Linked DNA regions of Cricetulus griseus. The protein of the gene in region 2 interacts with the protein of the main gene of each other region in a pairwise test. Links are inferred from orthologs where the notes say so. Each region holds a gene or a part of one and is shown on either strand. Other genes may lie near its edges.

Region 1 (4,120 bases), about 14 Mb from region 2:
TATAAATACATTCTAGTACCACAGTTCTGCATCTTTGCTGTCCTATGTCAGGCTTCCCATTCAATTATGGGACCAAGGGGGAAAACAGCACCACATCCATATCCGTTTTCACATTTGAAGTGGATTTTCTGCTCAGATGGTCTCCCACTCCATTTAATTAGCAGCTGAATAACCAGCCTCCTTACCATTCCAAGATGCAGTTCATGAACATGAGTTGGAAGATGTATGTAAGTGCTCTTTTCTGTAGTGCTCATGGGTGGGAGGTCGAGACGGAAGCTCGTGATGGATGTTTAGCCCTACAGTTGAAATCCTATAAGTAAAAATCTACAGGTCTTAATTCTTTTCCCTTTCTAAAAGTATTATATGCTTTGCACTGCAGTATGCCTACACAATAGTTTAGTCACAGTGTTTATTCATCAAATTGCATTCCAGATATGACTTTTGTTGTCCTACAATCATCTTAATTAAAATTATTGGGCCCCATGTTATGCCTCAAAGGGTGGCACGAAGCAGAATTCAATGCCACTACCAGTAGCATTTGATAAATGTCAAAATAATAGTGAACTTACTTTTGTGAGAGATCTGGCCATGCCCTAGAAGAAAAGAAAAGCAGTTGGTAGACACGCAGATTTCTTTTGAAAAGCTACTTCAAATCTTTTACAGAGAACTTAAAGACTTATTTTCAAAATATGTAAGACTTCCTATTTATGTACCATCTTGAGGAATCAAGTAGATGAACATTAACCAATTTATTAATGAAAGCCAAATACTTTAACAACCAAAGGAATGTGTATTGAATAACCTCAGTGGGCCATGGGTTAAAAGGCAGAACCGGGGACTTGAGCTCTGTTAATAATAGCAAGGGTATATAATGTACCGACCTCAAGATTGGTCACCCACTGGCTCCACAGGAGCAGGAGCTCAACACACACCTGGACACACACACACACACACACACACACACACACACACACACACACACACCCTCTTAATTAGGAATAATTGCAAGACCTTCTGTTTGTACCCTTAAAATCCTTTCTTACATGACCACTCATAATAGTAAAATAGAGATTTATAGGGATGTTTACCATAAAGAGCCTTTAACAGGGCCACTTGTTTTTCAATTGAGGAATCTGACAAGAGATGAATTGGCATTAACTCTTCACAAGCTCCACTCACTGCGTCATCAACTCAAGGCAATGGAATGAGTGTTTCTCTCACTGAAGCAAGGGGTAGCCAAATCTACCCCAAATCCCAGAAACACTATATATAGCTTCTTTCACCCCAAGACTGGACCAAGCCTACCTGGAGGCCCTTGAAATTTGGACCCTTAGTCAGGGAAGTGTTTCGCTAATGTTAGTTCCCAGTTTGGGTCACTTTGGTGCTGAGAAGGATGAGAAATGGATCTTGCCCCCTCCTTCCCACCCCCCCCCCCATCAGCCCGTGGACTAGTGCATATGCTAATGAAGTGCCGATCAGAGTCTTCCGGGAAATCACAAGTCTTTGGGTGTGTAAATTTTTACTCTTAGAGCAAGAGACTCTTGGGTGCTCCAGGAAGGAGCAAGCATGCAGATCAGGTAGCCTGATAGACCTAGTGACTATTGCTCATCTCACCAGCATCCCGTTTGCCCATTAATCCAAAGAACTGCTGAGGCTTGGGTCTCCGGGCGATTCTCTGCAGAAGATGCTCAAAGGGCTCTGGCAGCGCCTCCTGGGGACAAACCCGCGTGCAGACAACGTGAGTGAACCCAGGCCAGTTCCATCATGCGCCCCAGCTTCTCCGGGAGCTACAGATCCCCTGTGATCCTGTGATCACACGAGTCCAGGCCACACAAGAATCTATGCAGCACTCTCCCCGACTTGACCCCGCCTGGGACTTCCTTCTCCCCAAAGTGTACCCTGGGTGTCCCTGCCCAGCCTCACAACCCCTTCTGGTCCTGTGCATTTTCTGCTCTTTATCCCATCAGAAGACTCACTCAAGGTCTCACTACCACCTTTGTCTGTTGTCAGCGCGGCTTCAGAGACCTCCCTCCCCCGAGTCCTAAGTGCACACAGTAGGGGTGGATGCAGAAGTGTGTCAATACTTTACAAGCGACCCTGCACCACCGCACAACTTTCTCTGTTTCCCAAGGCGCGCTCCTTTGCACGAATAGCTGAGAACCATGTAGAGGGAGACTTGGAACATCAAATACAGGAGTGTGGAGTTCGCTTCCGCCCCCCAGACCCCCGCAGCTCCTTAAGATCCGGCTTTTGCCCCATCGACTGGTTCACTTCTCTGCTCAGCATCTCCAAATTCTCTGGCAGCACCGCTGGACCAAAGCCTCTAAGATCCCATAACTTGGGACTAAAACCTTGCGACCCTTCCAGCCAGTTGAGGACCCAGCTCTTTAGAGAGCATCCATTCCGCTGGGGAGACACTGAACCCAGAACGCAGCCCTCCCGCAGGGAGGAAACTAAGTTCTGGGCGCACAGCCTTGTGCGGGGATCGGGGTGAGGGTGTGTGTGTGTGTGAGTGTGTGTGTGTGTGTGTGTGTGTGTGTGTGTGTGTGTGTGTGTGTGTGTGTGTGTGTGTGTGTGTGTGTCGCCCATTACATCCTACTGCGTCTCTCCGGCTGGGCTAATCAGGGTGCTAACCACAAGGGGAAGGGAACAGCTCCCACGCCCGGTTGGGTCTCACCTTGATCTGGTCACTGTCGGACCAGTCGGACCAATAGTTTAGATCATCGTTGGCACCGATTTCCTCTGCAAACAGTTGAGTGGAAACGAGAAAAATGACCGCAACGGCCACGAGGATTTTCATGTTGGATTTCTGGGGAGAGTAGGAGAGCGGAGAGGAGACATTACACACACGTAGGCGGTGACCACCCAAGAGTTAGAGCAGCAGAATTTCAGTGCCACAAGAAAGGGAAAACAGGTTCCGCTAAACCAAGATAAGAAAAATCAGAGTTACCATTCCTCCATACCCCTTAGGAGGGAGAATAACGCTCCTTGGAGCCTCAATCCTCCTCTTCCTGAGTCTCAGCGTCCCAGACCCTCAGCCCACCGACCCACGCCCTCAAGCCTGGAAACGCTGCAGGTGGGAGACAATGAGAGACATGGCATTTGCACAATCCCCCGGGTCTGTGGCTGCAGCGGGAGCAAAGCCAGGCTGGACGCCACCTCCGAGCCAGGCAGGACCCGCAACAGGCAGCCACAGCTGGAAGGCGGGAGTGGTACTCACTGCGGTCAGCCCCGCACTGGCTGGGGATGCTCGGCAGGTGCGCACTCGCTGGGCGCTCCTCGCTCTCCTCGGTCGCGGTGCAGGAGTGGAGCAGGTCCGACGTTGTGCGCTCTAGTCCCTGCTCCTGCTTCGCGGTATTTATCACAGGCGTGACGAGCCTGGAGTGCCACGTGACACTCTCCCCACGCGACTTTCTGCTCAATATTTGATTAGCCGCCCCCTCGCCTTTTGCTTGCGTGATGGAGAGTTTCCGAGTCGGTAACCCGTCGGTGTCCGTAACATCTGGACCCAATTGGGTTCGAAATGACGCAATTTTAGGGAAGTCGAGGTCTCGCCACCCAATCCAGAGAGGCCTGTTTTCTTCCGTCTGCAAATCTGACGCCCCCTCCCCTCTTCTTCCGAACAAGGTTCAGTGACACCTGAGATTACTCATCAAAATTGAGCAGAGTGATTCATGCCTCGGACTTGGGGAACTTTTCTCTCAAGAGACCTCAGGAAAAGTTGCGCTTTTGAGAACGGCCAAATCACTTCAGCATTAAAACCTTGTCAGAGATCACGCTGAGACAGGAGCAAGGACTTTAGTGGGCTGCAGGAAGCGTTTTTTCCCCTTCTATTTCTACTTTCATGTGTCTTAAAGGTTGGTGAGGGGGTACATAAAAGGCTGGAACAGTCCTCTCTCCCTAATCAGCCAAATACTCCCCCATTTCTCTGGCATTTCAGAGGATAAAAGCACATTTGCTTTATGTTTGGAGAAAAGAGAAATTTAAAGCTGGTGTCGCATGTAGAATGTACTCATTAGCCATTCCAGGACAGCTTTTCTTCCCCCAAAGCTTCTCTCTCTTCACATCCAGACAGGATCTGAAGAGGATAATCACGCCTCTCCCCTTCTTATTCTCACTG
Region 2 (4,160 bases):
GCTGGACTTCAATACTTTGATAGCTGATCTTGGTAGTCAGCCTCAGGGAGAGGTAGTGGCCAAAAAGGGTTTGCTTCCTGAATCCTCAGGCAAGCTTTAATAAGTCACAAATATATCCCTACAATGGTGACTATCTTCAGGAATGTAACCTAACAGTTTTGAGCAGGGGAGAGGGAGTAAGAGAAGGGTAAGGATCGCCAGATCCATGCTGGACACACTCACGCTGGCCAGAGTCCGACTGCCATTCAGGCCACCCTTGGTACTTACTATCTTGCTACAAAGCAATCACAAAAACGTGGGCGGTGATAGGCATGACCGTTCTATTGGAGTGATGCTCAGGCTTGTGTGTGGGAGCAAGGGATCAAACCCAAGGCCTTGGGCTTGCCGGGCAAGTGCCCTCCCACTCCAGCCCTTCCAATTTTATGAGGACACACTAAAAGGTGGGTTTAGGGTGCTTGATACCAAGCCAAGCCTGAGGACCTGGCTTTGATCCCCAGGTCCCCACAGTGGGAAGGGGACTCCGGTATGTTTCTCCACACTTAGGCTGCTGTGGTAGATGCAAGGCACATAGCCCGCCGCCCCCCCTTCCCCCTCCAAAAAAATGTTTTTAGGACAGAGGTGGGTGGATCCCTGAGTTCCGGGACAGCCAGATCTACATAGTGAGAACCGCGTTTCAGAAAAATAAATAAATGACGTCTGGCCGGGTGCCACAGGGCGACTTTAATGCCAGCCCCGGGCAGTGGCGTGGAGCTGTGGGGCTGTGGGGCGTGAGGAGTTCCAGGCACTTCAGGGGAACACGGTGAAAGCCTCAGCATTCAGGCTGGGACAAAGCAACCACTGCTCACTAAACAGTGCTCACTGCCGGCGGGGATGAGCGGGGAACCCCCAACCCCTTCTCTCGCCCTTTAACCCTGTGGCCCGGGCACGCGCGCTGGGGGTTTGCTTGGTCTTGTCTTTTCCAGAGCGCTAGCGCTTCCCGGCGTAGCCCAGGCCGGCCTCCGGGGGCCGGGGTCACAGGCGCGCGCCGGCCCCGCTTCCACCAGCGGCGAAACGCTCGGTGGTCTTGAACCATGGCGCTCCCTCGGGCGCCCTCGACCAACCAACGACCCTCAGCACACGCCACAGTCTGCGAGGCGCGCAGCCGCCCGGTCCGGCTCGGGTGCGAGCGCACACGGCCCACGGAACGTCCAACCGTCGGGCGGCGGGGGGCGGGGGGGAGCGGCTTCCGGGAGCGCAGGCAGTGCGGGAGGACCAGAGGCCCTGCCGGGGCTTAGGTGGCTAGGGCTGTGCCCGTGCGTTTCCTCTGCCCGCCCAACGCGGACGCAGGCGCACGGCGTGCAACAGCCCCACGAGTCCCCCACGGGCGTCCACAGCGTCTCTCCGGGTAGGGGCGGCATCCCGCTCAGCGAGGGTTTCCTTCAGGCGTTACGGCGGCCACCTCGGCCGTGCGGCGCTTGCGGGGCGCGCGCCGTGGGGGTGGGGGCGGGGGGCGGCGGAGAAACGCACGCAGCCCGAGGCGAGGCGGGGCGGGGCGGGGCGGGGGGCGGGGCTGCGGTGTGCGCACGCGCCGCGCGGCTCACGCAGGCGCAGTGCGGTCCCCCGGGCGACGGCGGCGGCGGCGGCGGCGGCTCCTCGGGGTGGTCGGCTCCCTCCCATCTAGGCCGGCCCCGGCCCGTCTCGGCCCCTGGGAACTCACTGTCTGGGGCTGCGGACTTCCTCGTCGTGCCCCGCAGAAGCAGATTGGGGGGAGCCTGGGGGAGCCGGAAGTACCGCCTCGAGAGCCCCAAATACGATCGGGGAAACGGAAGTGGCCTGTGGTGCCCGCTTGGGGGAGGCCGGAAGTGACGGTACGGCGGGGAGCCGGCGGGGGGGGCGGAGCCGCGGGGCGCTGCGCCGCGCCTCGCCGTGTGTGTGTGTGCGTGCGTGCGTGCGTGCGTGTGTGTGCGTGTGTCTGTGTGTCCGTGTGTCTGTATGTGAGGGGCCGCGTGTCGGGCCGCGCGCGCTGCTGCTGCAACGCCGGCGGAGGCGGAGGCGGAAGGACGGGCGGCCAGCGAGCCGGTCGGGCTCCCGTGAGTGTCCGCGTCCCCGGCGCCTGTGGTGCTTGAGGCGGGTTCGATCGCCGTGGCGCGCGTGCGCGGAGCCACTTTGTCCGCCGAGCGCGGCGCGGCGCGGCGCGACCCGACCCTCCCCCCGCCCCCCCCTCGCGTTGTCCTCGGCTCTCCCGCTCTCTCGGGCGCTTGCTGGGTCGCGACCGGTGATGACAACTGGTGTCCGGTCGGTCTCGTGCTTGCTTGCCCGGCTCGTAGCCCAACTGGCTCTCCCGACCGTGATTGGCACCGTGGAGCCCCTCCCACCGCTCGCCCTTCGCCTCCCGGTGCCGTCCCCCTCCTGCCCTTTGTGTTTCTCCTCCCGGGCCTCGGGGCCGAGGAGGGGGCGATGAGGGCGAGGACGAGTGGATGTGTTTGTGTATGAGAAACTTTGAGAGGGATCGGGGCGGAGGCCGGGCCCGGACGCTCTTCCGGGTGTGTAGAAGGCGGGGCGGGCGGGCGGACGGACTGACGGGCGAGCGGGCGAGCGAGCGGGCGGCGGCGAACCACCCCCTCCCTCCCTCGTCTCTCCGTAGAGAGCTGTCGGCCATGGAGCCGAGCGATAGTGCCAGGACCGCTATGGAGGAGCCCGACAGCCTGGAGGTCCTGGTGAAGACCCTGGACTCTCAGACTCGGACGTTCATTGTGGGGGCCCAGGTGAGGCGGGGGGAGAGGCGGCGGTGTGTGTGCCCGCTTCGCTCGTGTGCCTTCCGAGGGGCGAGCCTGCTTGTCTTGTCACCGACTCCTTTGTCCCTCCCTCGGTAGAACCTCTGATGTTCCTGTTGAGTGAGGAGGTGTGGTTACCGTTGAGTGAGGCAGGTTTTGTTCCGCCCGCCTTCACCTCGGTGGAGCTCGGTGGAGAGGGAAATGCCGCGGAGGAATCTGTACCTGGCCTGGGCGGACCTCTGCCCACAGGGACACGGATGATTCCGGCCTGGGGGACCGGAAGCAGCACCGGGGCCTCAGACAAGTGTGCTGTGTTTGCTCTGTCTTTGAACAACTTGTTCTCGGCCTTAACACTGTATTTATAGATCCCGGGAGCCTGCTTTTGTGCTCTGTTCAGGAGGATTGCCAATATCTTGAGGGGTGGTTTGAACCTCCCGAGCTTACAGGGTGCAGTGTGGGCACAGTTATCTTTGTCTTTACTGCATAAATCTTTTCGGGAACAAATCATGAACGGGTCACTTTCGTGGTTTTATAAAACATTGGGAACACCGGGTACACTTTCGTGAGTAGGTGTCTGATGGCCCTTACCAAGAGTTACTGTCTAATTTGGAAGATTCTTTTTGGGGGTGGTAGGGACAGCAATACCTCATAGAGCTCAGGCTGGCTTTGACCTTCTGACTTCCATCCTCTGTGCTAGGATTTTAGGTGTAGCATACCTGACTTGTTTTAGGTTGTTTTGTTTAGTTTTTCCCCAATAGGGTTTCTCTGTGTAGCCCTCTCTGTCCTGGAGCTTTATCTGTAGACCAGGCTGACTTCAAATTCAGAGATCCGCCTGCCTCTGCCTCCCGAGTGCTGGGGTTAAAGGCGTGCTCCACCATTGCCTGGCTGAGGTAGGGTTTTAAGTGTCTTAGAACTGATTGTCTTTTGGATTCGTCATCCTCCTGTCTCTGCTTCCCAAATTTGGGGGTCTCAGGTGTGTGCTACCACGTTGGTTTGTTTGGGTTCTTCATTTTCCCTCCTCCCCTTATTGGGGGGGGGATGTTCCTACTGGTGTTGAACCCTGGACCTAGCACAAAGTACCTACCCCTGAACTCTAGGAAACCTCCTGGGCTCCCTTCTTACTTCTTCATTAGTTATCTTCCCAGACCCTGGATCCCAACCCAGTATTACTTGCCATTGGTGGAAATGGTTGTTTGAGGGTGTATCAGGTGTGTCATCCCCCCAGGTTTCTCTGTGTACCTCTTGCTATCCTGGAACTCAATCTGTATAGCAGTCTGGCCTAGAATTCACAGAGTCTGCTAAGATTAAAGATGTTCACCACCACCTGGCTTCAAAAAAAATGTTTTTAAGACTTTATTCATTTTTGTTTTTGTTTTTGTTTTGTTTTGTTTTGTTTTTCGAGACAGG
Region 3 (3,500 bases), on a different chromosome or scaffold from region 2:
CCACCACATCCAGTTTATATTGTGCTGGGGTCGAACCCAGGGCTAAGGAAAGCATTCTACCAACTGAGCTACAACCCCAGCTCTAAGCCCTTTGTTTAAATGTGAAGCAAAAATTTAATGCTACATAATATATGATAATTTATAAAAATTTTTCTCTCTAATCTCCAACGGTATGTGACATAACGATACTCTCAGATTTTAGGAAATAAAAGCTTACAATGGCAGCGACTTATCTAAAAAGTTTAAAAGATGATCTGAAACAAGTCCATTGTATTCATTACAGATGTTATTTCCAACTATATCAAACCACCTGAAAAGAGTTAGTTGAAAAAGTGTCCCTTCATTCCGCCAGGAGCACCAGCTTACCTAGACGGGCTCTTGTCCTAGGTCCTTGCATTTGACTTCGAAGTTCAGGCCTCAGGTGAAATTTCTTTGCTTCATCAACTAGATCTCTGCACTGTAAACTACAGCGGATGAAAGGCTAAAATACAAAAGACAGGAGTGAACTACACAGGCTACTTCTAATATTGTAAAAACAAAATGACACATATAAAGAAGTATTTTCTGATGTAGACAAGTACGGAAGGATTAGTAAGAATTTTTTTTGAAGTTTTTTTTTTTTTTTTTTAAATTATATACACCGTGTTCTGCCTGCATGTACATCTGAATGACGGAAGAGGGCACCAAATCTCATTACAGATGGCTAAAACTACCATGTGGGTGCTGGGAATTGAACTCAGGACCTCTGGAAGAGCAGCCAGTGCTCCTAACTCCGAGCCATCTCTCCAGCCCAGTTAGTAAGAATTTTAAGGGAAGCTGAGCATGGTTGGCTCACATCTGTAATCCCAGCTCTTAGCAGGCTAAGACAAAAGGATTTCTGAGATTTCAAGGCCAATTTAGAGTGGCATACTAAGTTCTAAGTCAGCCTGATCTAGGTAAGAGTGAGACACTGTCTCAAAAAGACATGCTTTCTCTTTTAGATAAATATGTCTTCTCTGAAATAATTCCCCTAAGGGTCTCTCTCCTTCCCTGCCTTCTTCTTCCCCACCCTTCCCCTTCTTCACCCTTTCTTTCTGACAGTGTCCCTGTAGGTCAGAGTGGTCTCAAACTTACAACACAGCCTAGGAAACTTAAATACCCGCTGCTCCTGCCTTCCCCTCCTGAGTGCTGTGATTACAGGCATGCATTCATTATTAGACCAGCTCCTACATCTATATCCAACAGTGCTCTCTCTATATGAATGGGAAGGATGGCTCACTTTGGTAAATTGCTCACCATGAAAGCATAATGGCATGAGTTCCATCACCAGAACCCACATAAAAAGCCAGACATGTTACCTACCCTACACTAGCAGAAAGACAGGCAGATCTCTGGGCTTGTTGCCAGCCCAATCATAAACTCCAGGTCAACCAATAAGAGATCATATCTTAAAAAACAAGGCAGATGGCCTGAGGACCAGCACCCAAGAGTGACCTCTGGCCCCCATGTACATACACATATACTCACATAGAAAAGAGAACTCTTATTAGCATCTGCTTCCACAGATTCTCTGTTTGCTCTCTGGCATCCATACAAACTGTCAGTAACATCTCCACACTGGGTTCTAGCTGGGATGAGTCCCACTGAAGGTCAAGGCTCCTCTTAAAGCAGTGATTCTACCTACTCTATCCCTTCAGGTTCTGAAAACCACTTCTCCAGCCAGGCTGTTCAGACTGAGAGCTGTTAGCAGCTTAGCTGTTCTGGATCTATCGTCTTCCACTGTCTTCTACTATTTCTCCAAATTTATACCTTTTAGACAGCTCCTTTATACAATACATCTTCCTCAGAACCGTACCATCTGGAGCACACCATGTTTCCAGTTAGGGTCGCTAACTCATAGAAGTTCTTGTTTATTAGCTTAACTCCAACATATTTTTGGTAATGCATTGGAAGAGAAAATAAATAATAGCAATGAATACTGTCACACAAGACATGACTCTAAAAGTTTTTGCATATGAATACTGGCAACAATGTATGAGGGGGTGAAGTCAGTTCTGCTTCACAGAGAGAAAAACCTTTGATCATCTCCCTGAAGGCCACACAGAACACTTGATTTAGGACCGCAGCCTCCTGATTCTGGTTCCAGAATCTATGTACCAAATCACAATGTAAAGACCTAGACAGGAACGTGTAAAGGTTACCTTACCATCAACCTGACTGGTTTAGGAAACACTCAAATGGGTGTGTCCATGAGGGTGTTCCCACCGAGGTTGAACTGAAGAGGTAGGACCTGCCCTTGATGTGGGCCACACTGTCTCATGGGCTGGGAGAAGTTCAGCTGAGTGCCAGCATCCCTTTCTCTACTCCCTGACTGTGGTGCATGTGACCCACTGCTTCATGCTCTCCCTGCTGCCTTCTTCAGGGTGAGCTCTGACTTACAATGGGACTCACTGCACCTTCCCTTATTCCTTAAGTTGCTTGGTCAGGTACTCTGTCACAGCAAGAGGAAGACTAACCAATAGATGTTTTAAAAAAGAAACCACAAATAGCAGAAAATGAATTGAAGATGTGACACTAACTAGCCTGAATTTTTTTTTTTTTAATTTAGGGGAGGTCCTTATTTTTTGATTATTTGTTTAAGATAGGGTCTCATTTAGTCTAGGCTGGCCTTGAACTATTGATCCTACTGCCTCCCTCTACCAACAGTTGAGATTATAGGCCTTCACCACAACAGACCTAGCAAAAAATACTTCTTTCAGTTTATCTGTGTAGCTTTGGAGCCTATCTTGGCACTCACTCTGTAGACCAGGCTTGGCCTTGACCTCACAGAGATCCTCCTGCCTCCCGAGTGCTGGGATTAAAGGCGTGAGCCACCACTGACTGCCCTGCTTCCTATGGATTATTAAGATGATTTCCTCTTCAGCGCCCCACCCCGACCCTGATAAAACAAGGGCTGCAACGGATAGAAAAATAGAACAAGGATATGTCACACAGCTGATGTCTCTTGAGGAGCCATGCAGACTGTGGCTTAGGTTAATGATTAAGAGAAACAATGAATCCCAGAAGCCTATCTAGCTCAAGTTCTTTTAATCTTAATGTTGGGAGATGTGCTCACAGGTTTCAGTGTGCATCATAGCTAAAACAAAGCCTTAAATAATGACTTAAGGTTAGATTAAGACGATTTTGTTAATGGCTTTGGGTTAAAAAATCTTGGAAAACAACTTAAAAGTTTAGAAAGGCACACTTTGAGTAGCTGAGTGAGGGACTCATTGAGGTCAAGAAACAAGAACAATGGCAGGCAGCCTGGCTATTGCTGGCTGACGTACTTTTCTTGTATGATGGGTTGGTGATCAAGGGTGATGATTAATTCCTTGTATCCATTTCTGCCCTTAGCTTCCTGATATATAAGTCTGTTGATGAGTGGGGATGGATACACTCTAAGATTTTACAATAGAGCTGACTAATTCTTTTTCATTTATAAAAGTTTAGATTTTTGATTCTTTTTTTTTAGGATTTATTTA
Region 4 (3,500 bases), about 150 Mb from region 2:
TGTTATTTAAATTAACACTAGATTATACAACTCAGGGAAACACAGAACTGTTTTGAAAAGTATATTGATTAATGTATTAATTTCCAGACAGCCCCCTATTCTGAATGGGAAAATTTTAGCAATAATTTTTGTTCAAGCATTGATTTTTTTTTCATGTATGGAAACAGGAGGCCTATCTTTGTTCAGGAATATATTAGCTATGTCAATTCCAAATGTCACTTTCCCAAGTATACTGTAAATATCTTAGTTGATTGTGTTAATGTTTAAAAATAATGCTAACAATCTTATCATAGATATGCTAATCTAACCTTTAGAACTGATGTAGCAAAAATTACAAAGTCATTAAACAGAGGTTAAGGTCAGGAGGGAGGTGAGTTTAAAGTATAGAACATTGTGAGCTTGGCTTCTTTTTAAAATTAAGATACCACTGAAATATTTCAGTTATTAGAAACTTTAATAACAATGTATGTGTTGTAATAAACATGTGCTTTACCCATATAGTATTTTTCTTTGATTATGATTATACTGAAGAAATTTATGACTGGGTGAGTTGCTACTTGACTCTTCATGAGCAGATTGAAAGACAGAGTTATGCATTGAGATTGTGGTGAGGATCTGAATTTACAGGATTGTGAAATAAGTGCATAATATTGTTAGGAACAAGGAATTGCCTATGCACAGAGTAAGATGAGGAGAGATTGGTTGTTTTGAAGGTGAAAATCAGGGTAGTCACTGGTCTCTGGTTGCAGCCATGAGAGCAAGAAGCTTGGATGTACCACTGACTTACTGAGTCTGCTTGTCCTTATGGGCAACTTAGCTCTTAGGTCTGAATAAAACTGATAAACATTCAGGGAGGCATATTTCAATTCTCTTCTTGTCCAAGCAACAACTGTGGATATCATCTCATCAGAGAGTTCATTACCAGTATTAATATTCAGGCATTTGTACTGGCCTGTCCCTTGGGTTCTGACAGGACATGCCCTGAGCACATTCAGTTCCTTTATAAAAGGGCCCTGTCTACCTCCCATCTTGCTCTCTTTCTATCTCTGTCTCTCTGCTTCTCTCTCTCTGCTTCTCTCTCTCTCTCTCTCTTTCTTCTTTTCTGCCACCCCTCCACCCAAGCTCTGTCGCATGGCATCTTTCTCTCATGCACCACTTTTAAAAATTATAACTAGTTCTGTCTACTTTTTCCTAGAATACCCTTAATTCCTATTTCCCGGTGTTTCTACTTGCACATATTTCTTAGGGAAGTATTTAGCAGCATTTCCTTTGGCTCTTACAGTTGCTCAGGTTAGATGATACAATACACTGTCAAAAACAGTTCATTGAAAGACCTTTTTGGTTTAGTCTATTTTAGCCTGTTTCTTTGAATCACTACTTAATTTTTCTCCTTCTTTGTTCTCCATCCTCTTTATAGGAAAAATTAAAAATATGTTTTCAGAGGAAGAATTTGGTCCCCTGACTCGCCTGGTCCTGGTAAATGCCATTTATTTCAAGGGGGACTGGAAACAGAAGTTCAGAAAAGAAGACACAGAGATGACAGATTTTCATAAGAAAGATGGCTTAACAGTCAAGGTTCCAATGATGAAAGCTCTGTTGAGAACAAACTATGGTAACATGAGAAGCTATATATATATATATATATTATATATATATATAATATATATATTAAACAGTGGAGCTGATAACTAAAAAATATATTTAATGAACTTTAATTGTTTCAGGTTATTTTTCCGAGTCACTCATGAGGTTCCAGGTTTTGGAATTGCCTTACAAGGCTGATGAATTTAGTATAGTCATCATCCTTCCCACAGAAGATGTGAATCTAGAAGAAGTGGAAAAGCGAGTTACTGCGCATCACATCCAGAGATGGTTCTCTGAGCTCCACGAGGAGGAAGTGGAGGTCAGCCTCCCTCGGTGGGTCATGTTCTGTGCTACTGATCTCTGGATTGTAAATGGAATCCTGTGGCCAGTTAAGATAAGATAACTTTCCACTGAAATTCCAAGGGATTGCCATAGGAAGCAATGTTTATACACACTAATAGGCTTTTGGGAGACAAAAGAACCTTCAGAGTAAATAATGCCCAGAATAACAGTTTATATTCTATCCCGTGTGACAAACTTCTCTTCCTATATTTTGACGTAGCATTTTATTAACAGAGAATTTCATAGTCCTATACTATGGTTTGCACTATTTGCTGCTCACTCTTTCCCCTCACTCCTCAATATCTAATTCCTACTCCGTAACCCCATTGAAGAAGTTCTCCCCTCAGTATTTCCCCTCACTTCTTACAGATCTGGTCTCTACTCCTATGAACTAAAATCAGAAATTCAAAGTTCTGAAATACATCTTCCCCAAATTAACCATTTTTTACTTGAATAATGTGTTTTATATATGAACAGTGGATGAAAATTACATAGGCTCAGTAAATATTGTCATGTTGATAGGTTTCAGCCACCTCTGCCCCTGCTCCAAAGAGTATCTATGTGTAGCCCATGTTCATTCTGCAGTCACTATGTAGCCCAGGCTGGAACCAATCTCATGATCCCACTGACTCTGTTGTGTTGACTCTGCAGCTTTGTGACACTACCTTCAGTGATGGTTTTAAAATGTATCATTCAGTACTGTATTTCTTTTTATCTGAATGAGCACATAATGGTCTTTAAACTGGTAAGTGAAGATCTGGTAAATTGGAACAATTCAAGCAGTGTCATCAGTTTTCCAGAGCTACTGTAAAAAAGGAACAAGAACAAGTTAGTTGATTTCAATGAAAAAAATAATTATCTCTGAATTATGGCCTAAAACTGCAAACTCAAGTTGTTATTAGAACCACACTGACCTTAAGACTGTGTTTCAAATCTGCCCTTGCTCTTTCTAGCTTCTGGTAGAGCCCAGCAATCCTTAGAGTTAGCAACATAAATAAGGCTCAGAACAAAACCAGCTATACTATACTCTGCATTGTTGCAAAAATGCCTCTTTTTATTTCTTTTTTAAAATTAGAAACAATCTTATTTTACATGTCAATCCCAGTACCCTCTCCCTCCCATCCTCCCATGCTCCCCACTGACCTCTGCGCCCCTATCCCTATATCCCTCTTCTTCTCCCCAGGGAGGCTGAGGCCTTCCATGGGGGATCATCAAAGTCTGTCACATCATTTGGGGTAGGGCCTAGGTTCTTCCCCACGTGTCTAGGCTGACAGAGTGTCCCTCTATGGGGAATGGGCTCCCAAAGTCAATTTGTACTCTGGGGATAAATACTGTTCCACCAGAGGCCCCATAGACTGTCCAGGCCTCCTTGCTGACACCCACATTCAGGGGGCTTGGTTTGGTCCTATGCTGGTTCCTCAGCTGTCAGTACACGAGCCCCCATGTGTTCAAGTCAGCTGTTTGTGTGGGTTTCCCCAGCTTCGTGTTGACCCCTTTGCTCATCACTCCTCCCTCTCTACAATTGGATTCCAGGAGTTTGGTTCAGTGCTTAGCTGTGGGACTTTACTTCGGCT
Region 5 (4,014 bases), on a different chromosome or scaffold from region 2:
TAGTTGACAGGCCTTGCAGCAAGCACCTTTATCCAGTGAACCATCTGACCAGTCTCCAATACTACATCTCCTTTCCTCAACCATGTTGCCAGTCTTATTTTAAGTGACACAAACCCAAGCAAAATCCTAGAAGTTGTAATGGATTTACAAAGAAACCAGAGAAGACTAGGAACTTACAGCAATTCTACCAGTGTTAACATCAATCAAGGCTCTGTACAAAAAAATGACATATTCTGAGTCCGGTATTGGATAAAAAACTGTCAAAAGAGTAAATGTTAAAATGTATGCTTTAAGAGCTTAAAGCAAGGAAAATGCTAACTGCCTTTAGTTTTTGAGGAGGCTCAAGACCAGAAAGGGACTACCAGTACTCAGGCCTTGCTCATGTGGGATGCTCACGTTCCTGGAGAGCAATTCCACCATAATCTAATCTTTACACCTAAAGAGATAGTGAAGATTAGAAACTTAAGTTTTAATTTGTATCTGAACAAGATAAATACACCTGCCACTTTCTGATAACTAGAGAAAAATCATGGAAAAGCAAATTAAACAAGACACATCCTTAAAGTTAAATTTAAATATTTTTCGGTTTTCACTAAAAGTCAAGGACAAAAAAAAAAATGAAACTGAAGTTATAGAACCCTAACTTCACCCAGCTGGGGGGGGGGGTGTTAATTTGAACTAGGCAGGCTAAGCAGGGTTTGAAATGTCTCACGCTAGGGAAAATTAGGAATATGGGGGAATACAGTAAAAAGCAGACTGTTCCCAGCAGAATCCCTTAAAAACCTGCTCTGATTCACCCCACGGGTTAACTTCTGCTGTAAAGGAACACTCTCTGGAAATGGATGGCTGGGAAATGCGGCTAAAAAGAAAACTCGGCCCATGAAAAATCCCCTAGCCCACCTAAGTCCTGGATGTCTATTTAAGGAGGCTGGTCAAGGCTCTGCCAGCCAGGCCTAAAAGCGAGAGGGAAGCACAGAAGTGCCTGTAACACGACGGACTCGGAGCACAGGGGAAATGGACTTGCATGCCCTTGGTAAGCTCTGGCGGCTCTTCCCAAGTTAAGGACACTGGCCACAATGGAATGGAGTCTATTGGCATTTGCCTCCCCGTTTTAACACTAAGCATTTTCTTAGTTCGTGAAATACGAACTGACAACCACCCCCACCCCTCCCCACCCCCGCGCGCACACACCCTCCAGAGTCAAGCCCAGTCACACAGGACAGCACCAGGCCTCCAGCTCCTACCAACAAAACTGGGCCCAGGGGAGAGGAGAGGAAAGGAGAGGGGCGCAAGGACGCAAGCCAACATCCGCGTTGTTGCCATCAGGACCCGCACCAACTCCTCTGTGGCGGTTCCTCATCCCTAGAAATTTCAGGAACTGGGACAGGGGCTGCGGGCGGAAAATGCGCTGCGTGTCCGATGCCCGCCGCCAACCCACCTCTCTTGAGTCCGGCCCTCGCCCACCTCTATTCAAAGGCGCCTTCTGCTCGCCATACGAGGAACAGCAATGCGGATCGGCCACCACCCGCGCGCAGGGGACCTTGCGGGGAAGGAGGGAGGCCGGCCCGAAGGGAGCCGGGCACTCCCACCCCTTCCCCAGCTGGGGGAGGGCAGCCCACTGCGGGAACCCCGCCGCCCCAGATCTAAAGGGGGATGGGTGCCGGGAGGCCGCTAGCCACCCACCTCGCCTCGGATGACCACCTTCCCAGGGCCTGCGGGGCGGGAGATACACAGGACAACCGGCCGACCCTACCTGGGGCGGCTGGGCCTCAACTTCTCCTCCTCCTCCTCCCGGCCAAGAGGCTCGTTTCAGGAGAGGGACCCCTGCGACCTGCTGCACCCAGGCCCAACCGCCCTTCCATCGCTGGTAGGGGACGCGGCAAGGGGGTGGGGCGGGGACCCCCACCGCCCCTCGCACACACGCGAGGGGCAGGGGGCAGCCCCGGCCGTCCATCTTGGCCGTCTGGGGGAGGGGACGAGATGGTGCGGGAGGCTGGACACGGCCCGAGAAACCCTTAGAATCCTCCGGGGCCTCCCGCCCCTCCGCGGGCCCCCAGCCCACCGCGATGCGGGCCGGTCACGGGGCGAGGCGGGGGAGGGGACGAGCAGCGCGGGATCGGCCCAGCGGGCGCGGAGGGGGCTGGGGAGCCGACACCCACCTGCCCAGGCCGGGGCGCCCGCCGCCCGTGGACGCCGAGGAAGACGCCACCGGCGCGACCGGGCCGGCACCGCGGAAGACGAGGCCGGCGCGGCCAGGCGGCGCGGCGCCGGGCGACGAGAGGAGGCCGCCGCCGGGTTTGCGGCCACTGGCGGGCGCGGGCGGCTGCGGCTGCGGCTTCAGCGACATGGTGAGCGGCCCATACACCGGCTCGCACGCCGGGCGGGGACAGCCGGGAGCCGGGCGCGCTGAGGAGACGCCGGAGCGCGGCGGGGACGCGCGGACGCCAAGCGGGCAGACGCGGGCTGACGCGGTCGCGGGAGCCAGGGGCAGCAGGACGACGACGAAGGGGCGGGGAGGCCCGCAGACACCGAACAGTCGCCGGGAGCCGGGCCGGGAAGCGCCGTTGCCGTTGCTACCAAAACAGTCTGAGGCGCAGGGCGGCGAGCGCGGCCCGCGGGGAGGGCGCCGGGGCGCGCGGGGGAGGGCCGGCGGGGATACGGCGCCGCGCCGCCGCCCGCCGCGCCGCGCAGTCCGCGGGAGCGAGCGCCGCGCGGCCCAGCCCGACAGGCGGCGCGACTCCGGGCCCGCCGCGGGCCTCTGAGCGGCGGCGGTCGACGGGCGCATGAGAACCCGGATCGCGGGCGCGCACGGGGCGACGCGGACGGGAGGGCGCGGAGATGCGGAACGGAGATGGGGGTGAGGGGGGGGGGACTCTTTACCGGAAGTCGGAAGGGTCAGGCGGAAGTGGAACGTGAGTCGGCTTGGGGGCCGATCCGGACACGTGAGGAGCAGGCCCATAGCTGGGCTGTATTCGCCTCGGGGGTCGGGTGAGGGCCGCCGGGGATCCGCCCTCGCCGAGGAGAGTCTGCACTTCGGGGCGGGAGTGCTGGTGTTCGCCCGCGGGGCCTGTCGCGGATGGGCGCCCGGAGCTGCTCTAGTGTCCTAAGCCCTCTTGGAGGACCTTGGTTTCCTCCACTAGATACGATATAGAGGATGGCCCGCAGGCTCCCGGCAGTTTCCTCCTTAAACCCCGGGCCTGGTACACAGTAGGCCCCCAGGTGCCACTGCCCGCCGGGTTTCCCTGCCAGCATGGGAAGCTTGCCACCACTGAAGCCACTGCCAGCTGCTTCACTTTGCCCCAGTTTATCCACCCCAGCGAAGTGTTGGGCATCTGACCTTCATTTGAACCCGTTTTCCCTCACCAGAACTTCTTATTCCTCCTTGGGGAGACTCAGAGGAAATGGACGCGATTGGTAGAACTGGATAATGGGGTCTTGCCATGGATAATGGGGTCTCCCTCAGTGAAGGCAAAAACAGGCCTCACAAAAATGTGAACTTCAGACCTTGACCCCTTTAGAAGTTTTACTTTAACTTGGGGAGGCCGCCAAACACTGTAGTCCGTTTTTTAACGTGTTATTAAATCGGTAGCAAGTAGGTAACTTTCTGACAACGAGTTTAGGTTTTTTGTTTGTTTTTCTCTTTTAGTTGGAAATGATGGGCTGGAGAACAGCAAAATTCCCCCCCTTCTACTAAAATCATTCACATGAATTAAAGTCAGGCATGGTGTTCGTTCCTGTAATATGAGCACTTGGGAAGTGGAGGCAGGATTAGAAGTTCAAGGTCATCTTCACCTACATAAGGGAATTCTAGGAGAGGCTAAGCTACAAGCCACCCAGGCTTAAAAGGGGGCAACTAAATAAATAGTAACCCCTGGTTATGGTACATTCCTTTAATCCCAACACTCAAGGCAAGTGGATCGCTCAACTGTAGACTAGCTTGTTTTACATACATTAAAAAGTAACTACAAAAATTGGGCTGGTAGCCAGGCAGATGGCTCAGCAGGTAAAATTATC
Region 6 (2,703 bases), on a different chromosome or scaffold from region 2:
ACAACTAGCTACTCAGCATCTATGGGGGGCCAGGAGGCCAGCCTAGTAAGGCAGATGGGATGCAGGCTCTGCAGCACCGGAGGCCCCTGCATCCTGCCCTCAGGCATCAGACAGCTCAGTGGTTGGTCCCTTCTTTCCTTCCTCTTGAAGGTTATCTGTTGGCCTGGGAAGGACAGTGGCCTGTCCAGAGCTGTACGCCTCAGATGGCCCAGAGGTTTAATAGGTTGGGTGTATCTTGCTGGTTGCAACCTTGCAGAGCTGGGCAGGTGGAGACTCCCCAACCCCTGCCGCCCCATTGAGAGCCATGTCCCCCTCAGGTCACTGCTCCTTGTCTTTCAGCTCCTGAATCAGTTTGAGAACACGGGCCCCCCACCTGCAGACAAGGAGAAGATTCAGGCCCTCCCTACGGTCCCCGTCACAGAGGAGCACGTGGGTATGCTCACGGGGTGGTGGACAGAGTCCCCAGGGACCTCCCTTCTGTGGCATGACTCTCAGTGGCCTGCTTCCTCTGCAGGCTCAGGGCTGGAGTGCCCCGTGTGCAAAGACGACTACGCGCTGGGTGAGAGTGTGCGGCAGTTGCCCTGTAACCACCTGTTCCATGACAGCTGCATTGTGCCCTGGCTAGAGCAGGTGACTCTGCCCTGCCCACCAACCTAGACCCAGCTCTGACCTTAACCCTAATCTGCTTGCCTGCCAATCAGAAACCTTGTGCTCATCCTGACCACAACCCTAACACTAGTCATGACTTACCTGACTGTCCCTTCCTTCCCTGAACTCCAAGCCTGCCTTTGTCATGCCTGTCTCCAGCTGTGACCCCGACTCTTACTTGTGCCCTGAGGCTGACCTCTCGCTAGCCCTGGCTTCACTCTACCCCAACCCAGATCCAGAAAAATTCCTGGGTCAGACTATGTGTTAGCATTGGCATCGGCATTGACTCTGACTTTGCTGCTGTGCCCGTCTGCCACCTAACCTGGACCCCAGACTCTAATTCTAACCCTGATCATGGCTCTGACCGCAACCCTGATGTTAACCTAGGCCCTGGGGACTGGAGAGATGGCTGGGATCACTGGCTGCTCCTCCGGGGGTCCTGAGTTCAATTCCCAGCAATTACATGATGGCTCACAACCATCTGTTATGAGATCTAGTGCCCTCTTTTGGCCTGCAGGCAGACATGCAGGCAGAGCACTGTATATATAATAAATAAATCTTTTAAAAAAACTAGGGACTCTTTGCTTCCTGATTGAGGAAGCCATGAGAAACTGCGTTAAAATAAATCTTCCTTCCTTAAAAAAGAAAAAAAACTGGCGTTGGTGGCGCACGCCTTTAATCCCAGCACTTGGGAGGCAGAAGCAGGCAGATCTCTGTGAGTTCGAGACCATCCTGGCCTACAAGAACTAGTTCCAGGGCAGCCTCCAAAAGCCACAGAGAAACCCCATCTTGAAAAACCAAAAAAAGCAAAAAACACTAGGCCCTGACCCACCCCTCCCTCTCTCTAACTCTTCCTCTGTTCTCTCAAGCATGACAGCTGCCCTGTCTGCCGCAAGAGCCTCACTGGACAGAACACGGCCACCAATCCCCCAGGCCTAACTGGGGTGGCCTTCTCCTCATCCTCATCCTCATCCTCGTCCAGCTCGCCCAGCAACGAGAATGCCACAAGCAACTCCTGAGTCCCACCTGGCCACCCATCCACCCACCCCCGGGGCTCGGTCATCCCACTCGCCCCAGGTGCCCTAGCACCGCCATGGCCGTGGACTAGAGGTGCTGCCCCATGGTGGCCAGCAGCACCTGGCGGGCCCCAGGCTGCGACAGGCTCGGACTTGGCCATGGCCGCTCCTGTTTGGAGGCAAGCACCTGGGCCCCATGTCCCCAGCAGGCGCCTCCAGTCCGTCTTTAACCTCACCCTCCAAATGTTCAACGGCAGAAGGGTTTTTATGATTTTAAATTATTACTGCTTTGAAATAAATGGACGTTTGAGCCACGTGCGGCCATGCATGATCTGTGGAGGCAGCAGAACTGTCGCCAGACCCAGCCCGCCACATGCCCTGGGAGGCCGGCCCAGCACCCAGCCAGTGCCGGCCTCGGGACCACGAGGGTGACCAGCAGACCCAGGAACAAACTGCTCCAGCAGACTTTTTTTTTTTTTTTTAAGGGAAATGTGTGTTATCTGGAAAGCTATTTAAAATACACCTACTCAAAAAGCAGAGCCCATGGCTTGGCGTCTTCCTTCAGCCAGGGTGTTCATGACTCACGTGGGGGCAGCTCACAGGGTGGGTTTGTGCTTTGGGTGAAAGCCTGAGGAGACCCAGGCCTTGGCAGTGTTGAGCAGGAGGGGATTTCAACTGTCTTCAGGGCACTTGGGTGGGAAGCCATCCAGTACAGGCCCTGCATGTGGTGGCCTTGAGGTGGGGCCTGTGACCAGGGGCCCTGCAGTCTCATCCACATACTGCTTGCCTGCCTTTGCTGGGAGTGATGGACTCACAGCATCTATAAGGGCTCACCCAAAGCCACGCCAGCACTGTCCTGGGTAAGCAGGTCCCCAGCCCTCCTCTCCTAAGCGTCCATGAGGGAGACTCGGAGCAGTCAGCTTTCAGCAACAGTGTGACCTGCCTACTCTGTTCTCATGTTTAGGACCTGAAGAGCCTCAAGAACCATGTTTACTTCAGCCCTGGCACTGCTGGTGTGTCAGCCGATTGGCCTTTGGTT
Region 7 (4,154 bases), on a different chromosome or scaffold from region 2:
AAACACAGAGAGACCGGGGATTCTGAACATAGGTACCCTGTATGAGTGGATGTTTCCCTTAGAAGACATAGATTATGAAGTGAAAATCTCAGTGCCAGGTGTGGGAAAACTCCCTATGAGAGTTATAAGTCAGGGAGGCCCCCAGACAAGAAGCTTCACCATTGCCCATCATAACGGAAGCCCCATTGCTGATGACACACATTTTGGTTACCGGACACAGAGAAATCAAACTGAGTTGACATACAAAATTCCCGCCTTCTGGCCAGCTTTCACAGTGTCAGAAGGTTACGTAGGTTGTGTGAGGAGGAAAATTACTAATATTGACCAAAAAAGCAAGATAGTCCCACATCTGGTACAATAGTGATGTGAAGATTATGAGGTTAACCCACTGCTTTCTGACTGGACTTGAGGCCTGCTCCACAGAAGGGAATTCCTATCTGGTACTGTAAAGCTGAAAACCCGTGGCTGGCGAGGTCATAGGCCATGGGGGACAGGGAGACCTATTACTGTTGTTTTGCTAAGCAGACATGTGATTTTTAGGTTGTATCTATAATTAATACTATATCATGTAAATATTTAGGTTATATCTATAGATTCACACACTCTCAGCCTTGGTCATAGAGACTTCTTTTTACGGTGGCAGTAAATGTATCAACATAACTGGTCAAAGTGTGGAGAACAGGTAACTGCTGAGTGTTCAATCTTAAACAGAATATCTATTCCAACCTTCCCCCGCCTCTCCCCAAGTCTCCAAAGTTCAGGAACATTGTGGGAGATGGGGCAGAAAGGATGTAAAAGCATGGGAAGGGGAGGAGTGCTGTCAAATTCTGTCTTCTGGATATGGCACTCACGAATATACTCAAGTTATGGCTACCTGAACAAGACCTTTGAAAAGAGCAAGCCAATACCATTAGTCACCACTCCAGCAGCTACATCAACTAACTGGACTCAGTGAGTTACTGGATGTGGGAAGGGGCATGTTGGTGTGTGTGTGTGTGTGTGTGTGTGTGTGTGTGTGCTCGCGCTCGCGTGTGTATCTGCGGGATTTTGGGTAGGTATGATTACACTGTATGTGTATGAAACTGACAGAGAGTAAGTAAAAGACTTTTTAAAGGGGGGAAAAGGCTAAATGACAGCTCAGAAAAAAATGGCCGTCAACATTATGCTCCCCAGAGGCTACTTTATGAGTGACTGAAGTTTAAAGCTAAAGTATTAAAAGCTATTAGTATTTGCCAGGAATGGTCACCCATGTCTGCAATCCTAGCATGTGGGAAGTGGTGGCTGAAGGAGCATGAAGGAGTTCAAGATTGCCCTCAGCTACATATTGAGCTGGAGACCAGAATACCTCAACTTCCAACTCCAAAATTTTATGTTGACGTTTTGTTAAATGCTTTGGGTACTCATGAGCTTAATCAAACTAAGGGGAAACAATAAAGAATATGTAAGAAATGTGAACTTTTAGAAATTTAAAATATTTCACAAGGAAAAAAAATGACAAAATTTAAGCATACATGCAAAGAGTAAAAAACATAAGGAAACAACTTTAAAAGCTATTTGAGGTAATGCAGCAACCTACAGACTGTCAGACTCTGACACCCACTAGTTTTTGGTGTGTTTTTATTTTTGTGGTTACTTATTTATTTGAGATAGGGGATGATGTAGGCTTGGCAAGCCTGAAACTCCCTCTGGAGCTGAAGATGACCTTGAATTCTGATCCACCTGTTTTCATCTGCCAAAAGCTGGGGTGAAGGGTTCCAGCCCTCAAGAACACAAGTCTGATGTACCATATCCTTAGTCATGGGAACTATAAGGTCGTGCATTTTAAATGCTGGGAGATAGATTCTCAAAGTCTGCTCTTTCTCCCTGAAGGGAGGCACAATGCTCCCCTGGTTTCAGAACTTCGGTAAAGTTCCTTCAAACTTGTATGATTCATAAGAGTGGCAAAAGGCTAGAATCCCAGTTTTCTCACCCGTTCGTGAAGTGCTTTTCCTACTTATACCATCCAGCTCAAGGAACCATGGAGAGAGACAGTGAGGCAAGATGACAGTTCAGGCTCGCTAGCCCAAGAAGGTGGAAAGTAGGTTCTCTAAAGGTCTTGTTGCTTCCTCAAGCCAGTTTACTCCCGCGTGAGCTTGGCTTCCTTACCTGCATCTGACTTAAGAGCATCATGGCCCACCCACTTTAGTGTCAGGTCCTCGGAGGCTTGTTGCAAGCTAGGTAACCCACCGTCCCACCCTCCAGTTCAGCAAAGACGTGTCCATAACTTCAACCCCAGCTTGGCACTCACTCCCTTCCTCGGAGTTCCGTGACTCTACTACCGCTCACAGCCACTTAACTCCTTCCAATGCACAAACGTAGCATTTGGCACTGCAACCAACTCCTGCTCTTGTGGGCACTCTGGCTCCGCAGGGCCAGCCCGGCCCTCACTGCCCCTCCGTCCCTCGGCTCGGCAGTGCCGCTCCCTCACTGCCCCCTCCTCGATGCCACCCGCGTCCTTCTCAGCAAAGGCCGCCCCTCGGGCCCCGTGCCGCGCGGAGCCCCTTCCTCACCCGGCCATCACAGCCCCGATGAGGTACAGCAGCAACAGGCAGAAGGTGCTTAGGTTCTGCGGGGCCATGGTGTCGCCTGGTCCCGCACTCTCAGCCTCCCGTGCCGCTGCGTCTGCTGACCAGCCCTTCCGGCCCTGAGAGGCCGCCTCACGCCCGGGTCTCTTGCCGGGCCGCCGAGACAGCTAGCGCGCCCCCTCCTCAGCTGCCACTTTCCGGGAGCCCCAGAGCCGGCGAGCAGCCAGGCATGGGCCAATCGCCGCCGGGGACATCACACGCGGCCGCCACTCCGCAGCCAATCAGCGCGGTACACTTCACCTCCGAGGCGGCTCGGACAGCCAGTCAGACAACGGAACTGCCGCCGCTGCTGCCGGCCAATGGGAAGAGGAAACGTCAGAGGTTCGCGCCGCCCGGAAGTGCCTGCGAATAGGAGAAAATCTCAGGCGGAGGGGAGCGCGCTGCGAGGAAACCCGAGTGGTCCACCAATCGGGAGACTCCTTCCCAGCTCTGACCAATTGCTCGCAAGAGGTCTTAACTCGGTTTTCCAGTCTGGAAACTACGTCGCGTGCGCCCGGGACGCGCGGGATCCCTGAGGTGCAACCCCAGGAGGGTGGGCGATCACTCGGTGTCAGAGTACTTGGGGCGCCTTACCTAAGGATGCGATCTCACAGTACAAATTTAGTACATATAGTCTCGATTTCGTAGAAAAGAGGCCCGGTACCTTATAGAGAAGCCGCCGCGGAGACCGACTTAAGTTCAGATTCGGCTTCCAGCACTTCGCAGCGGTGAGACATCCCCACCCCCACCCCGCTTCCGAACCCGTTTTCGACAAAACTTAAGGCGTGGCGGCGTTCACTGGTAGTGTTGGGAATTTTTAATTGACATGTTTTCTGTAAGTTTTCCAGTAGAGTTGCACATAGTAAGCATGCAATCAATAAAAGCCGTTATTATAGTTCGGAGCAGAGCTTGTTCGTTGGTTCTTTTCTCCAGTTTTGTTAACTACAGAAAGCTAGTTGTTTAGCAAAGCCTCTCCTCTTAGCTTTGCTTCCTACATGAGCTATCTAGATCTTTACCAATGAACGGTATCTTGATTATGTCCAGTACAGCTCCATCTCTGGCCCAAGTCACAATTATCTCTTGCTTGCAAAGGTCTCTTAACGATCTTCTCCCTCCAAACTTTATATATCGATCCATTATTTTAATGTACTCCTACTCTCCACCCCATGATCGTGTGCATGCGTGAGCGCACTAGGGACCTGGAGACCACAGATTAGACTAGGCAGGTGGACTTGGAAGACCAAGGTCCTGTCTCTGTCTCCCCAGCTCTGGGGTTTCAGGCGGTTGTTGCCGCAGTTGCTGCTATGCGTGGAATTCAAGGTCTCCTGTTTATACAGCAAGTAAGTGGCAAGCTTTATGGACTGAACTATCTCCCCAGCGTCCTCGTGATTTTTAAAAAGTATTTCAGATCATGTCACTCTCCTGCTTAAAAGCCTCTAATGGCTTTTCAATGTACTAAAAGTAAAATGTCAACTCTATTGTAACTTACAAAGCTGTCTAGTTTAACAATCAGTATCCTCACCTCTTAAAATGTTCCAGAATAATCAGCTT

Evidence for each region.
Region 1: the proteins of Bag6 (region 2) and Tac1 interact in a two-hybrid assay, tested with the Homo sapiens proteins (2 studies listed by BioGRID and IntAct). The link is inferred for Cricetulus griseus from reciprocal best matches to the Homo sapiens genes BAG6 and TAC1.
Region 3: the proteins of Bag6 (region 2) and Klhl12 interact in binary tests that used the Homo sapiens proteins (3 or more experiments, as listed by UniProt). The two-hybrid records come from large-scale screens. The link is inferred for Cricetulus griseus from reciprocal best matches to the Homo sapiens genes BAG6 and KLHL12.
Region 4: the proteins of Bag6 (region 2) and Serpini2 interact in a two-hybrid assay, tested with the Homo sapiens proteins (2 studies listed by BioGRID and IntAct). The two-hybrid records come from large-scale screens. The link is inferred for Cricetulus griseus from reciprocal best matches to the Homo sapiens genes BAG6 and SERPINI2.
Region 5: the proteins of Bag6 (region 2) and Atxn2 interact in binary tests that used the Homo sapiens proteins (3 or more experiments, as listed by UniProt). The link is inferred for Cricetulus griseus from reciprocal best matches to the Homo sapiens genes BAG6 and ATXN2.
Region 6: the proteins of Bag6 (region 2) and Rnf126 interact in binary tests that used the Homo sapiens proteins (3 or more experiments, as listed by UniProt). The link is inferred for Cricetulus griseus from reciprocal best matches to the Homo sapiens genes BAG6 and RNF126.
Region 7: the proteins of Bag6 (region 2) and Dnajb11 interact in a two-hybrid assay, tested with the Homo sapiens proteins (2 studies listed by BioGRID and IntAct). The link is inferred for Cricetulus griseus from reciprocal best matches to the Homo sapiens genes BAG6 and DNAJB11.

The regions. Positions count from the first base shown.
Region 1 is NW_023276806.1:217,573,199-217,577,318, forward strand, and holds the start of Tac1 (protachykinin-1), read right to left. Parts: upstream 2,801-4,120; coding exon 2,678-2,800; intron 1,712-2,677; coding exon 1,615-1,711; intron 1,134-1,614; coding exon 1,089-1,133; intron 594-1,088; coding exon 570-593; intron 1-569. UniProt on the Homo sapiens protein: Tachykinins are active peptides which excite neurons, evoke behavioral responses, are potent vasodilators and secretagogues, and contract (directly or indirectly) many smooth muscles.
Region 2 is NW_023276806.1:231,657,330-231,661,489, forward strand, and holds the start of Bag6 (large proline-rich protein BAG6), read left to right. Parts: upstream 1-1,360; 5' UTR 1,361-1,384; intron 1,385-1,588; exon of another isoform or gene 1,589-1,847; intron 1,848-1,878; exon of another isoform or gene 1,879-2,069; intron 2,070-2,380; exon of another isoform or gene 2,381-2,522; intron 2,523-2,623; 5' UTR 2,624-2,636; coding exon 2,637-2,744; intron 2,745-4,160. UniProt on the Homo sapiens protein: ATP-independent molecular chaperone preventing the aggregation of misfolded and hydrophobic patches-containing proteins.
Region 3 is NC_048598.1:54,763,753-54,767,252, forward strand, and holds part of Klhl12 (kelch-like protein 12), read right to left. Parts: intron 482-3,500; coding exon 367-481; intron 1-366. UniProt on the Homo sapiens protein: Substrate-specific adapter of a BCR (BTB-CUL3-RBX1) E3 ubiquitin ligase complex that acts as a negative regulator of Wnt signaling pathway and ER-Golgi transport.
Region 4 is NW_023276806.1:78,476,149-78,479,648, forward strand, and holds part of Serpini2 (serpin I2), read left to right. Parts: intron 1-1,417; coding exon 1,418-1,612; intron 1,613-1,724; coding exon 1,725-1,917; intron 1,918-3,500.
Region 5 is NC_048597.1:101,568,783-101,572,796, reverse strand, and holds the start of Atxn2 (ataxin-2), read right to left. Parts: upstream 2,801-4,014; 5' UTR 2,786-2,800; coding exon 2,160-2,785; intron 1-2,159. UniProt on the Homo sapiens protein: Involved in EGFR trafficking, acting as negative regulator of endocytic EGFR internalization at the plasma membrane.
Region 6 is NC_048598.1:100,566,802-100,569,504, reverse strand, and holds the end of Rnf126 (E3 ubiquitin-protein ligase RNF126), read left to right. Parts: intron 1-339; coding exon 340-433; intron 434-514; coding exon 515-630; intron 631-1,517; coding exon 1,518-1,667; 3' UTR 1,668-2,203; downstream 2,204-2,703. UniProt on the Homo sapiens protein: E3 ubiquitin-protein ligase that mediates ubiquitination oF target proteins. Depending on the associated E2 ligase, mediates 'Lys-27'-, 'Lys-29'-, 'Lys-48'- and/or 'Lys-63'-linked polyubiquitination of substrates.
Region 7 is NC_048597.1:65,997,757-66,001,910, forward strand, and holds the start of Dnajb11 (dnaJ homolog subfamily B member 11), read right to left. Parts: upstream 2,801-4,154; 5' UTR 2,618-2,800; coding exon 2,550-2,617; intron 1-2,549. UniProt on the Homo sapiens protein: As a co-chaperone for HSPA5 it is required for proper folding, trafficking or degradation of proteins.